3 linked regions of the Callithrix jacchus genome follow. The protein of the gene in region 1 purifies or fractionates together with the protein of each later gene. This does not show direct contact. Links are inferred from orthologs where the notes say so. Each region holds a gene or a part of one and is shown on either strand. Other genes may lie near its edges.

Region 1 (3,568 bases):
AAGAGTCTCCCTCTGTTGCCCAGACTGGAGTGCAACAGCATAATCTGAGCTCACTGCAACCTCCGCCTCCTAGATTCAAGTGATTCTTCTTTCTCAGCCTCCCAAGTAGCTGGAATTACAGGCGTGCGCTACTGGGCCTGGCTAGTTATTGCATCTTTAATAGAGACGGGGGGCTAACCATGTTGGCCAGGCTGGTCTCAAACTCCTCAGGTGGTCTGCCTGCCTTGGCCTCCTAAAGTGCTGAAATTACAGGTGTGAGCCACTGCACCTGGCCATGCCTGGATAATTTTTGTATTTTTAGTAGAGACAGGGTTTCACCATGTTGACTAGGCTAGTCTCAAACTCCTGGCCTCAAATGATCCACCCACCTTTGCCTCCCACAGAGCTGGGATTATAGGTGTGAGCCTCCGTACCCAGCCCAAGCTAGGTAATTTTTAAAAACTTTATTATGGAAGATAATGTTAGCCTCTCCAGTGGCAACACAAAAAAAGATTCAGAGATGCCCAAATGAGCTAAATCTCTACTGATGATTCTTATAGTAAAATCTTTTTGATCTGATTATGTTCACCTTGCTTTCCTCAGACACAGAAAGCATTTGGGGTCTTGGTGGTCCCCAAAGATACCAAAATCCTCAATAGGAAGGAAATTCCATGCATGAATCATTGAAAGATACTGACTTTTAAAAACATAGCCTCTTTGGGGGGTGCTTAAGGGGAAGAAGTTCCCAGATGTGCACACAGCTGCTCACAGCTGGAATGCTGGCACATGGACTAAGTTGTAAATCATAGCTGACAGCTGAAAACAGTTTGCTATATAGAGGGGGGAAGGGGTGGGCAAATGGAAGAAAAATGTTCAAGCTGCTGAAAAGGAGCCGAAGCGAAGAAAACGCTAAAATCATCATACAGGCAGTAATCTTAAATCAGGCATAATGCAGACTAACAAATTTCTTCTGCAGTGGTCTTAAGAAAAAAATGCAATCCCCTCCTCTGTACCTTTAAAACATATAATCACCTATTTTCCCAACTGTCTACCTGACAGCAACCAGTACTGCTAGAATGCTATCAGGGGCCCCAGATGAACATTATGATCTAAGGGACACGTAGGGGTTGTTTTCAAGGTCGGCAGCTTCAGAACCTGGCCTAGGAACAAAACTCTCTGCACTGACCAGTGTCTCTAAGCCAGATAATTCAGGCTGCTCATTTTTAAAAAGGACAGAGGTTGGTCACGATGGCTCACGACTGTAATTCCAGCACTTTGGGAGGCCAAGGCAGGCAGATCACAAGGTCAGGAGATCAAGACCATCCTGACTAACATGGGGAAATCCCATCTCTACTAAAAATATAAAAAATTAGCCGGGCATGGTGGCACACACCTGTAGTCCCCACTACTTGGGAGGCTGAGGCAGGAGAATCACTTGAACCCAGGAGGTGGAGGCTGCAGTGAGCAGAGATCACACCACTGCACTCCAGCCTGAGCGACAGAGTGAGACTCTGTCAAAATAAATAAATAAATAAATAAATTTAATTTAATTGTAATTTTACTGGTCTGGGGTGCATCTTAGGCACTGGATAATTTTTTTTTTTTTAAAGCACTGTCCAGGTGAGTATAATGTGTAGCCAGGATTGAGAACTAATGCTCTAGAAAGTTAGATATCTAAGTAGAATGAAGATAATAGGGATGCTTGTGACAGAGATGCTGGAAGATTCAGAAGTAGACTTATGCTTTTATTAATCGTAAAGTGTATGATACAGCCTTCACCACAAAATGCTTGATAACCTTGAAATAAATGAAAGGAATAGAAGCTGGGCGGGGGGCAGGAGGAGGTGGTAGAGTGTGTATATTTATGCACCCACACACAGTTGAAAAAAGACAAACAATAACAGTGCTCATAATGCTAGTTGCTTGAGAGCTAAAGAGCAGAAGGATTAAAGCAATTAAATCAAACCAAAATGTTGTAAATATACTTCCCAAACTGAAGAAGATTCAAAAGACAAAAATTAATTTTATATTCCAAGTATGTAGAAATAATAGATCAAGAGAATATAAATGCTATTGAACTGTACACTTTAAAATTATTAATTGAGCCCGGTGTACTGGCTCAAACCTGTAATCCCAGCACTTTGGGAGGCTCAGGTGGAAGGATCACCTGAGGTCGGGAGTTTGAGATCACCCTGACCAACATGGAGCCCATCTCTACTAAAAATACAAAATTAGTTAGGCATGATGGGACATGCCTATAATCCCAGCTACTCAGGAAGGCTGAGGCAGGAGAACTGCTTAAAGCCGGGAGGCGGAGGCTGTGGTGAGCTGAGATCGCGCCATTGCACCCCAGCCTGGGCAACGAGAATGAAATTCCATCTCAAATAAATAAATAATAAAAATACAAATACAAAAATCAGCTGGGTGTGGTGGCACAAGCCTGTAATCTCAACTACTCAGAAGGCTCAGACAAGAGAATCATTTCAACCCAGGAGGCAGAGGTTACAGTAAGTCCTGATTGTGCCACTGCACTCCAGCCTGAATGACAGACTCCATCTCAAAACATAAATAAAGAAAAATAAATAGAATCAGCCAGGCGTGGTGGCTCATGCCTGTAATCCCAGCACTTTGGGAGGCAGGAGATCAAGACCATCCTGGCTGACATGATAAAACCCTGTCTCTACCAAAAAATACAAACAAAGGGCAGGCACGGTGGCTCAAGCCTGTAATCCCAGCACTTTGGGAAGCCGAGGCGGGCGGATCAGACCATCCTGGCCAACATGGTGAAACCTCGTCTCTACTAAAAATATAAAAAAAAATTAGCTGGCCATGGTGGCGTGCGCCTGTAGTCCGTCCCAGCTACCTGGGAGGCTGAGGCAGGAGAATTGCTTGAACCCGGGAGGTGGAGGTTGCAGTGAGTCGAGATCACACCACTGCACTCTAGCATGGGTGACAGACTGAGACTCTGTCTCAAAATAAATAAATAAAATCGTTAATAGTACATTATGATTTTCACTGCAAAAAAAGATTATCAAGGATTACAAACAAGGACTATTATTGGAACAAGAAAAAAGAAAGTAGCAAACATTTCAAAGCCCCTTTCTATTCTTAAAAAATTCACCGATGATACTTATTCTCTAAAATGACTAAGTCTTCTATTTATGGAGAAGGCAGAAGAGTGATTTAATGTTTTACAAATACTTAATTTTGCCACCTTAATACAATTCAGTGGCCACAAATTACATTTCTCACTCAGCCAGGAGAGGGAGCTATAATCAACATACCTCCCTGCAAGCTCTTTTGTTCAACAATTTACCTTATAGGTCCATCCTTGTAACAGAAATAACCAAAATACGATACTTTTATTTATTATTATGATTTTGGTGACAAAAGGATAGTTTGTGGGGGAAAAAGGAAAGGAAGCTTACCTCTCTCTTTTTTTTAGATTTGATATCATCAGCACTGTTAGAGAAATTGGATTTCCTTTTATTACTTTCTGACTTTTCCCTGGGTTTGTTATTTTCACCCTCCTTCATCTTCTTATACTTTTTCATAAACTCAGAAATTAGCTCAGGGCAATCCAAGTTTT
Region 2 (3,568 bases), on another chromosome or scaffold:
TGTCGACCACTGCAGCTGGTCTCCCTGCTTCAACACTAGCCCTGCTCCATGGTGGCCTGGGGAATTCCAGCTGGGAACTCTTCAGTGGATCCCCGTGTGTCTGGGAATGAAGTTCAGACTCCTTCCAATGTCCCACATGATCTGGCCTCGCCTGCCTCATCCCCTCACTTAACTTTATGGCCTTCCCATAGGCAGATCCTCAAAGCTGAGCCCCTTCCTGCCTCCAGGCTTTCCACACTGCTGTTCCCTTTGCCCAGAATGCTCTTCCCACTCCCCTCCAGCTGTCCAGCCCCCTCATCCCTCAGGTTCAGCTTCAAGGTCCGGTCAGCATGCTGTGTGCACTTACAAGCTTCTAGCTTTTTTGGCTTACACAGTGTTTCCCATAGCTGGAATCATCATATGCTTTATGCCACTGTTTGTTGTCTTTCCCTTTAAATGGGAAGCCCCCTGAGGACCAGTACCTCATTTGTGGTGTTCACTGTGGTGCCCCAATGCCTGGCATCTAGTGGGTGTTGGACAGATGTCTCTAGAACAATGGAATGCATTGGTTTGAGGACAGAGCTGGTAACTCCCAGCCCTGAGTGGGGAGCAGGGCCAGAATGTGGGGCTGGATGGCATCCCAGTTCCTCCTTCGTTCAGACCTCACTGGGTGGTTCCATTATGTATTTCACTGAGCTGTGACCTGCCCAAATACCCAGCCCCCACACCCGTCCATTTTCCCACCCAGAGCCTGGGAGGAACAGTTTTGGATTATTTCACATTTCTGGATTATCCATGAGACATCTCCCCTCCAGTGAGAAGGATCAAGAGTTTGACATTTTAAACCCTAAGCAGCTTCTCCCTGGCCTGCTTCAGATCTGAGCCTCTGCTGCTTGCAATGAGATGCATGGGGAATGGAAGGCCATTTTAATCTTGGCCTGGCTTCATTAGGAAGAAAGAGATGCTGCCAAAAAAAAAAAAGTTTGCTTCATTGTCTCTGCCATGCAGAGCTACACAAGAGCCTAAGGGGTTATCAAAGTAAATTTCCTTGAAAAGATGGGGAAACTGAGGCTTAGAGAGGAGCAAAAGCTTGGTCGAGGGCATGCAGCAAATTGGTGACCAATCCAGGAATGGTCCTCCCCCAGGCCTCCTGATTCCCGCATGCTGCCCTTTGTCACCTTCAGGCACCAGGGGAGCTAGGGTCTGGCAGAGAGGGGGTAATAATGACTTCAGGACCCTGAGTCACCCTGGCCTTGAATGGCCTCCCAGAGCACAGATGGGGTTTTCCAGGAGCCCAGCTACTCCTCCAGGAAGAGAAACTCCCAGGAAGCTTCAGTGGCAGCAGAAGGGAAGGGTGAGGGGCTCAGACATGCCTCCGGCTTACCCCGCCACCAACCGCCACATCTGGGTCAATTTTGTGACAGATCTGTTGTCCTAGAGTGGGGCCTGTGGTGGCTAATTTCTGGAGCAGGCTGTTCTTCAAGAAAATGACTCCTTCTACCCTATTCCCTTTGATCATTTTGGGGGCGTTTTCTGTCTTTTATTTTCCTTTTTAAAACACCAAATCTTGAGAATACTAAAACTGACTCCAATTAATGAGGTCACAGTACCTGATAAAAACAGCATCTAAACATTTAAAACTCTTTCACTGAACTCGCAGAAAAGCTTCAGGAAAGGGACTGGCTTTTCCAGGGTCAAAATATCTTGCCTGAAGGTAGTCCCCATGGCTGCACGTTTGCAGGGACGGTGGGATCCCAGCACCCCTTCTCCACTTCTGGGTCCCTACCCCACATGCTCCTGGCCACACCTAGCCTACCTCAGGTCACAGATGTTGGAAAACAGCTCTTGGGGGCACCTTGGGAGGCCAAGAGAGGACACTTTGAGCCATCCTGTGAAGTCCTTGCAGAGTGTGTGACCAAGCCGTCCTGGCCACTCTCTTGACCTGGCCCTCACCAGGCTGCCTCTTAGAATCAATGAAGCTCCCAGGGAAATGGGGGTACCAGCAGGGCTGGTCCTCTGAATAGGCCCTGGGTAGGTGACCATCCAACCTGCTTCTCCCTTCACCTGTCTCACACAGGGTGATGCAAATGCCCACTGTTATCAGTGTATTTCCTGGGAAATACTTCCTGCCCAAGACATGGCATGAACAAAGGAAATGAAAACTTGATAAACCAAACGCCAGGGCCCCATCCAGTCTATGGTCCTCCGGCCATTTCAATTAACAAGACTCCTTGAACGTCCAAGTCGCCTGCTGAGTTCCCAGCCCCAGCACCCCACCTCCTCCTGAGACTGTCCACAGCAGCGGATCCCTACTCCCTGCCGCTGGTCCCAGCCTTGCCCTTAAATCCTTCACCTGCTTCCTGCTCACTCCATACCTCTGTCCTTGACTAAGCTCTGATGTCCTCTCCCCACCCCCGGGCCTTTGCCCGCTGTGCCCACATCCCCAGACTCACCCAGGAACAAAACCTCGCGGTCCAGTCGGCACTTCAGTTGGCACTACAGGGACGTGACGGTGAATGTGTCCTCAGGGTGAGGTTCCGCCATGGGCCCCAGGAAGCCGCTCTTGGGGCCCCCACCTAGGCCGGGATGCGCCTGCGGCATAAAGCCTGGGTACCTGTAGGCAGTGTCCTGCAGGGGCAGCAGTGAGTCCCTCGGCACGGGGGACAGGGTCAAGTCACTAAGGAGTGGGCAGCCATAGCCAGCAGCAGCTGCAGCAGGGCCACGGGGTGGGCCGGGCGGCCGGGCCATCTCCAGTGGCTCCTTGTCGGCCTTGGGTGTGGCTGGTGGGCTAGCCAGGTGAGGGGCACTGAGGCATGCGGCCTCCGTCCTGCCCAGGAAGTCAGCCAGCAGCCCTGTACCCACCTTGCCTTCATAGGGCGGGCTGCGGGCAGCTGAGCCTGGTGGGTACCAGTATGCTGTGCCCTTGCAGCTGGGGGAATCGTAGTGGGGCTGGCCCAGTGGCAGGTCCCGGCAGCTCAAGTGGGCCTGGGCTGCAGCTGCATGGCCCAGGCTGGCCCCCTGGAGCCCATGCTTGAGGGGCTCGCAGGCAGCCAGTTTTGTGGGCGGTGGCCGCAGCTCTTCCTTGAAGCCCAGCGTGGGTGAGCAGGTGGGTGAATATGCCTTCTGCAGGCCGGCGTCGAACACCGTGGGTGGGTGGGCCAGTGGTGGGAAATGCTTGCCATCAAGCTCGGGAGCACCCAGGCTGGGAGAGTCGCAGTGGAAGCCTTGGCCGAAGGTGCCGTCAGAAGGCGTGGACGGATTCATGGAGTAGGGTCCTATGAAGTCACAGGGGTCTCGATCTCCCACACCAAAGGCCCTCGACTGTGATGAGGGCAGTGGTGACATGCTGCTGTCCCCACTATAGTAGTCCAGGCCGAGGTCGGGACTGTCCTGGAACAGTGGGTTGACCGGCTGTGGCTTGGGGATGAACTTGGCTTTGGCCGCTGCGCCACCCCGCTCCTTCTTAGCTGAGCAGGCCCCACCGCCCCGTCCACCCCGTGGCTGCCGGGGCCCAGTGCTCCGTTTGGATGGGTAGCCTGAGGCAGCAGCAGAGGCGGATGTTGGGAAGCCCAGATGTGAGGCCTCGAAC
Region 3 (3,431 bases), on another chromosome or scaffold:
CGACCCTCAGGCCATTCCCAAGAAACGGGGCCGAAAGCCAGGGAGTGTGGTGGCAGCCGCTGCTGCCGAGGCCAAAAAGAAAGCCGTGAAGGAGTCTTCTATCCGATCTGTGCAGGAGACCGTACTCCCCATCAAGAAGCGCAAGACCCGGGAGACGGTCAGCATCGAGGTCAAGGAAGTGGTGAAGCCCCTGCTGGTGTCCACCCTCGGTGAGAAGAGTGGGAAGGGACTGAAGACCTGTAAGAGCCCAGGGCGGAAAAGCAAGGAGAGCAGCCCCAAGGGGCGCAGCAGCAGCGCCTCCTCGCCCCCCAAGAAGGAGCACCACCACCATCACCACCACTCAGAGTCCCCAAAGGCCCCCGTGCCACTGCTCCCACCCCTGCCCCCACCCCCACCTGAGCCCGAGAGCTCCGAGGACCCCACCAGCCCCCCTGAGCCCCAGGACTTGAGCAGCAGCGTCTGCAAAGAGGAGAAGATGCCCAGAGGAGGCTCGCTGGAGAGCGACGGCTGCCCCAAGGAGCCAGCTAAGACTCAGCCCGCGGTCGCTACCGCCGCCACGGCCGCAGAAAAGTACAAACACCGAGGGGAGGGAGAGCGCAAAGACATTGTTTCATCCTCCATGCCAAGGCCAAACAGAGAGGAGCCTGTGGACAGCCGGACGCCCGTGACCGAGAGAGTTAGCTGACTTTACGCAGAGCGGATTGCAAAGCAAACCAACAAGAATAAAGGCAGCTGTTGTCTCTTCTCCTTATGGGTAGGGCTCTGACAAAGCTTCCCGATTAACTGAAATAAAAAATATTTTTTTTTCTTTCAGTAAACTTAGAGTTTCGTGGCTTCAGGGTGGGAGTAGTTGGAGCATTGGGGATGTTTTTCTTACCGACAAGCACAGTCAGGTTGAAGACCTAACCAGGGCCGGAAGTAGCTTTGCACTTTTCTAAACTAGGCTCCTTCAACAAGGCTTGCTGCAGATACTACTGACCAGACAAGCTGTTGACCAGGCACCTCCCTTCCTGCCCAAACCTTTCCCCCATGTGGTCGTTAGAGACAGTTGAGAGGACACTCCCTTTTTCGGTGCCATCAGTGCTCTGTCTACAGCTCCCCCAGCTCCCCCCACCTCCCCCACTCCCAACCATGTTGGGACAGGGAGGTGTGAGGCAGGAGAGACAGTTGGCTTGTTTAGAGAAGATGGCTATGATCACTGGCTATGGCCCATGCGATCCCACCTGTGGTGGCTCAAGTCTGGCCCCACACCAGCCCCAATCCAAAACTGGCAAGGACACTTCACAGGAAAGGAAAGTGGTACCTGTCTGCTCCAGCTCTGGCATGGCTAGGAGGGAGTCATCCCTTGAACTACTAGGTGTAGACTAGCCTAAACCACAGGAGAGGATGGCCCAGGGTGAGGTGGCATCGTCCATTCTCAAGGGACGTCCTCCAGTGGGTAGCGCTAGAGAGGCCATGGAGGCAGTAGGACAAGGTGCGGGCAGGCTGGCCCGGGTCGGGCCAGGCCGAGCACAGCGGGCTGAGAGAGATTCCTAATCTCTCAGAGCAGTCTGTGACTCGTAGTTAGGGACTTAGTGGACAGGGGAGGGGCAAGGAGTGAGGAGAAGAAAATGTTTCAGTTACTTTCCAATTCTACCCCTTTAGGGACAGCTTAGAATTATTTGCACTATTGAATCTTCATGTTCCCACTTCAAAACAAACAGATGCTCTGAGAGCAAACTGGCTTGAATTGGTGACATTTGGTCCCTCAAGCCACCAGATGTGACGGTGTTGAGAACTACCTGGATTTGTATATATACCTGCGCTTGTTTTAAAGTGGGCTCAGCACATAGGGTTCCCACGAAGCTCCGAAACTCTAAGTGTTTGCTGCAATTTTATAAGGACTTCCTGATTGGTTTCTCTTCTCCCCTTCCATTTCTGCCTTTTGTTCATTTCATCCTTTCACTTCTTTCCCTTCCTCCTCCTAGTTCATTCCTTCTGTTCCAGGCAGCCGTGGTGCCCAACCACACTTGTCGGCTCCAGTCCCTAGAACTCTGCCTGCCCTTTGTCTTCCTGCTGCCAGTACCAGCCCCACCCTGTTTTGAGCCCTAAGGAGGCCTTGGGCTCCACCGAGTCCAACCTGGCCTGTCTATGAAGAGCAAGAGAGCAGCAAGGTGTTGCTCTCCTAGGTAGCCCCCACTTCCCTGGTAAGAAAAAGCAAAAGGCATTTCCCACCCTGAACAATGAGCCTTTTCATCCTTCTACTCTAGATAAGTGGACTGGAGGAGCTGGGCCGGATTTGGTAGCTGAGGAAAGTGCAGAGGCCCCCTATGGCCTACCAGTCATCGAGTAGCCCAACAAGGGCTCCATGCCACCCGACCTTGACCTCACTCAGAAGTCCAGAGTCTAGTGTAGTATACAGCGCAGCAGCAGCGGTGCTGATGCAGAACTTTCGATACCAGAGCTGGAACCAGCACCTAGGTCCCCGTCCCTTCTCTGCTCCCCTTTTCCCTTGGAGTTCTTTTCTAATGGAAGTGTTTTGCTTTTGCTTAATGCAGTGGGGCCGGAACAGCACACATTTCACTCTGGTCCATAGGCGTGGTGCAGGGTTTAGAGGCGTGGGCTTGCTGTGGGTTTTTAATTGACTAGTTTTCATTTGGGATCCCATCTTTTTAACCTCTGTTCAGGAAGTCCTTATCTAGCTGCATATCTTCATCATATTGGTATATCCTTTTCTGTGTTTACAGAGATGTCTCTCATATCTAAATCTGTCCAACTGAGAAGTACCTTATCAAAGCAGCAAATGAGACAGAAACACCCACGGGCATGTCCCATGTGAGCTGCTGCCATGAACTGTCAAGTGCGTGTTGTCTTGTGTATTTCAGTTACTGTCCCCTGGCTTCCTTACTGCGGTGTAATCATGAAGGAGTGAAACACCATAGAAACTGTCTAGCACTTCCTTGCCAGTCTGTAGTGATCAGGAACCATAGTTGACAGTTCCAATCAGTAGCTTAAGAAAAAAAATGTGTTTGTCCCTTCTGGAATGGCTAGAAGTGAGGGAGTTTGCCCCATTCTGTTTGTAGAGTCTCAAAGTTGGACTTTTGAGCATTTATGTATCCATTTCCTTATGCTGTAAAACAAGTCCTGCAACCAAACTCCCATCAGCCCAATCCCTGATCCCTGATCCCTTCCACCTGCTCTGCTGCCCACTCCCCCACACAGCTTCACTTCTGACTCTTCCCCAGGAAGGGAAGAGGAGTCAGAGGAGAGGGTGAGTCCTCTAGACTCTTCCTCCAAGGACAAAAGGCTCCTGCCCCCACAGTGGCCTCGCACTCCTGGCACCACCAAAGGACACTTATCCACAAGAGCGCAGCATCCAACCAGGTTGTCACTGAGATGTTTATTTTGGTCAGTTGGCTATTTATGCATTATTCTTAGTCCAATGCAATATG

What was found.
Region 2: the proteins of CBX5 (region 1) and AHDC1 purify together in Homo sapiens (affinity purification with mass spectrometry; 3 studies listed by BioGRID and IntAct, with this or other methods). This does not show direct contact. The link is inferred for Callithrix jacchus from reciprocal best matches to the Homo sapiens genes CBX5 and AHDC1.
Region 3: the proteins of CBX5 (region 1) and MECP2 purify together in Homo sapiens (affinity purification with western blotting; 3 studies listed by BioGRID, with this or other methods). This does not show direct contact. The link is inferred for Callithrix jacchus from reciprocal best matches to the Homo sapiens genes CBX5 and MECP2.

The regions. Positions count from the first base shown.
Region 1 is NC_133510.1:65,302,374-65,305,941, reverse strand, and holds part of CBX5 (chromobox protein homolog 5), read right to left. Parts: coding exon 3,408-3,568; intron 1-3,407. UniProt on the Homo sapiens protein: Component of heterochromatin that recognizes and binds histone H3 tails methylated at 'Lys-9' (H3K9me), leading to epigenetic repression. In contrast, it is excluded from chromatin when 'Tyr-41' of histone H3 is phosphorylated (H3Y41ph).
Region 2 is NC_133508.1:64,215,344-64,218,911, forward strand, and holds part of AHDC1 (transcription factor Gibbin), read right to left. Parts: coding exon 2,476-3,568; 3' UTR 2,433-2,475; intron 1-2,432. UniProt on the Homo sapiens protein: Transcription factor required for the proper patterning of the epidermis, which plays a key role in early epithelial morphogenesis. Directly binds promoter and enhancer regions and acts by maintaining local enhancer-promoter chromatin architecture.
Region 3 is NC_133524.1:149,941,918-149,945,348, reverse strand, and holds part of MECP2 (methyl-CpG-binding protein 2), read left to right. Parts: coding exon 1-685; 3' UTR 686-3,431. UniProt on the Homo sapiens protein: Chromosomal protein that binds to methylated DNA. It can bind specifically to a single methyl-CpG pair. It is not influenced by sequences flanking the methyl-CpGs.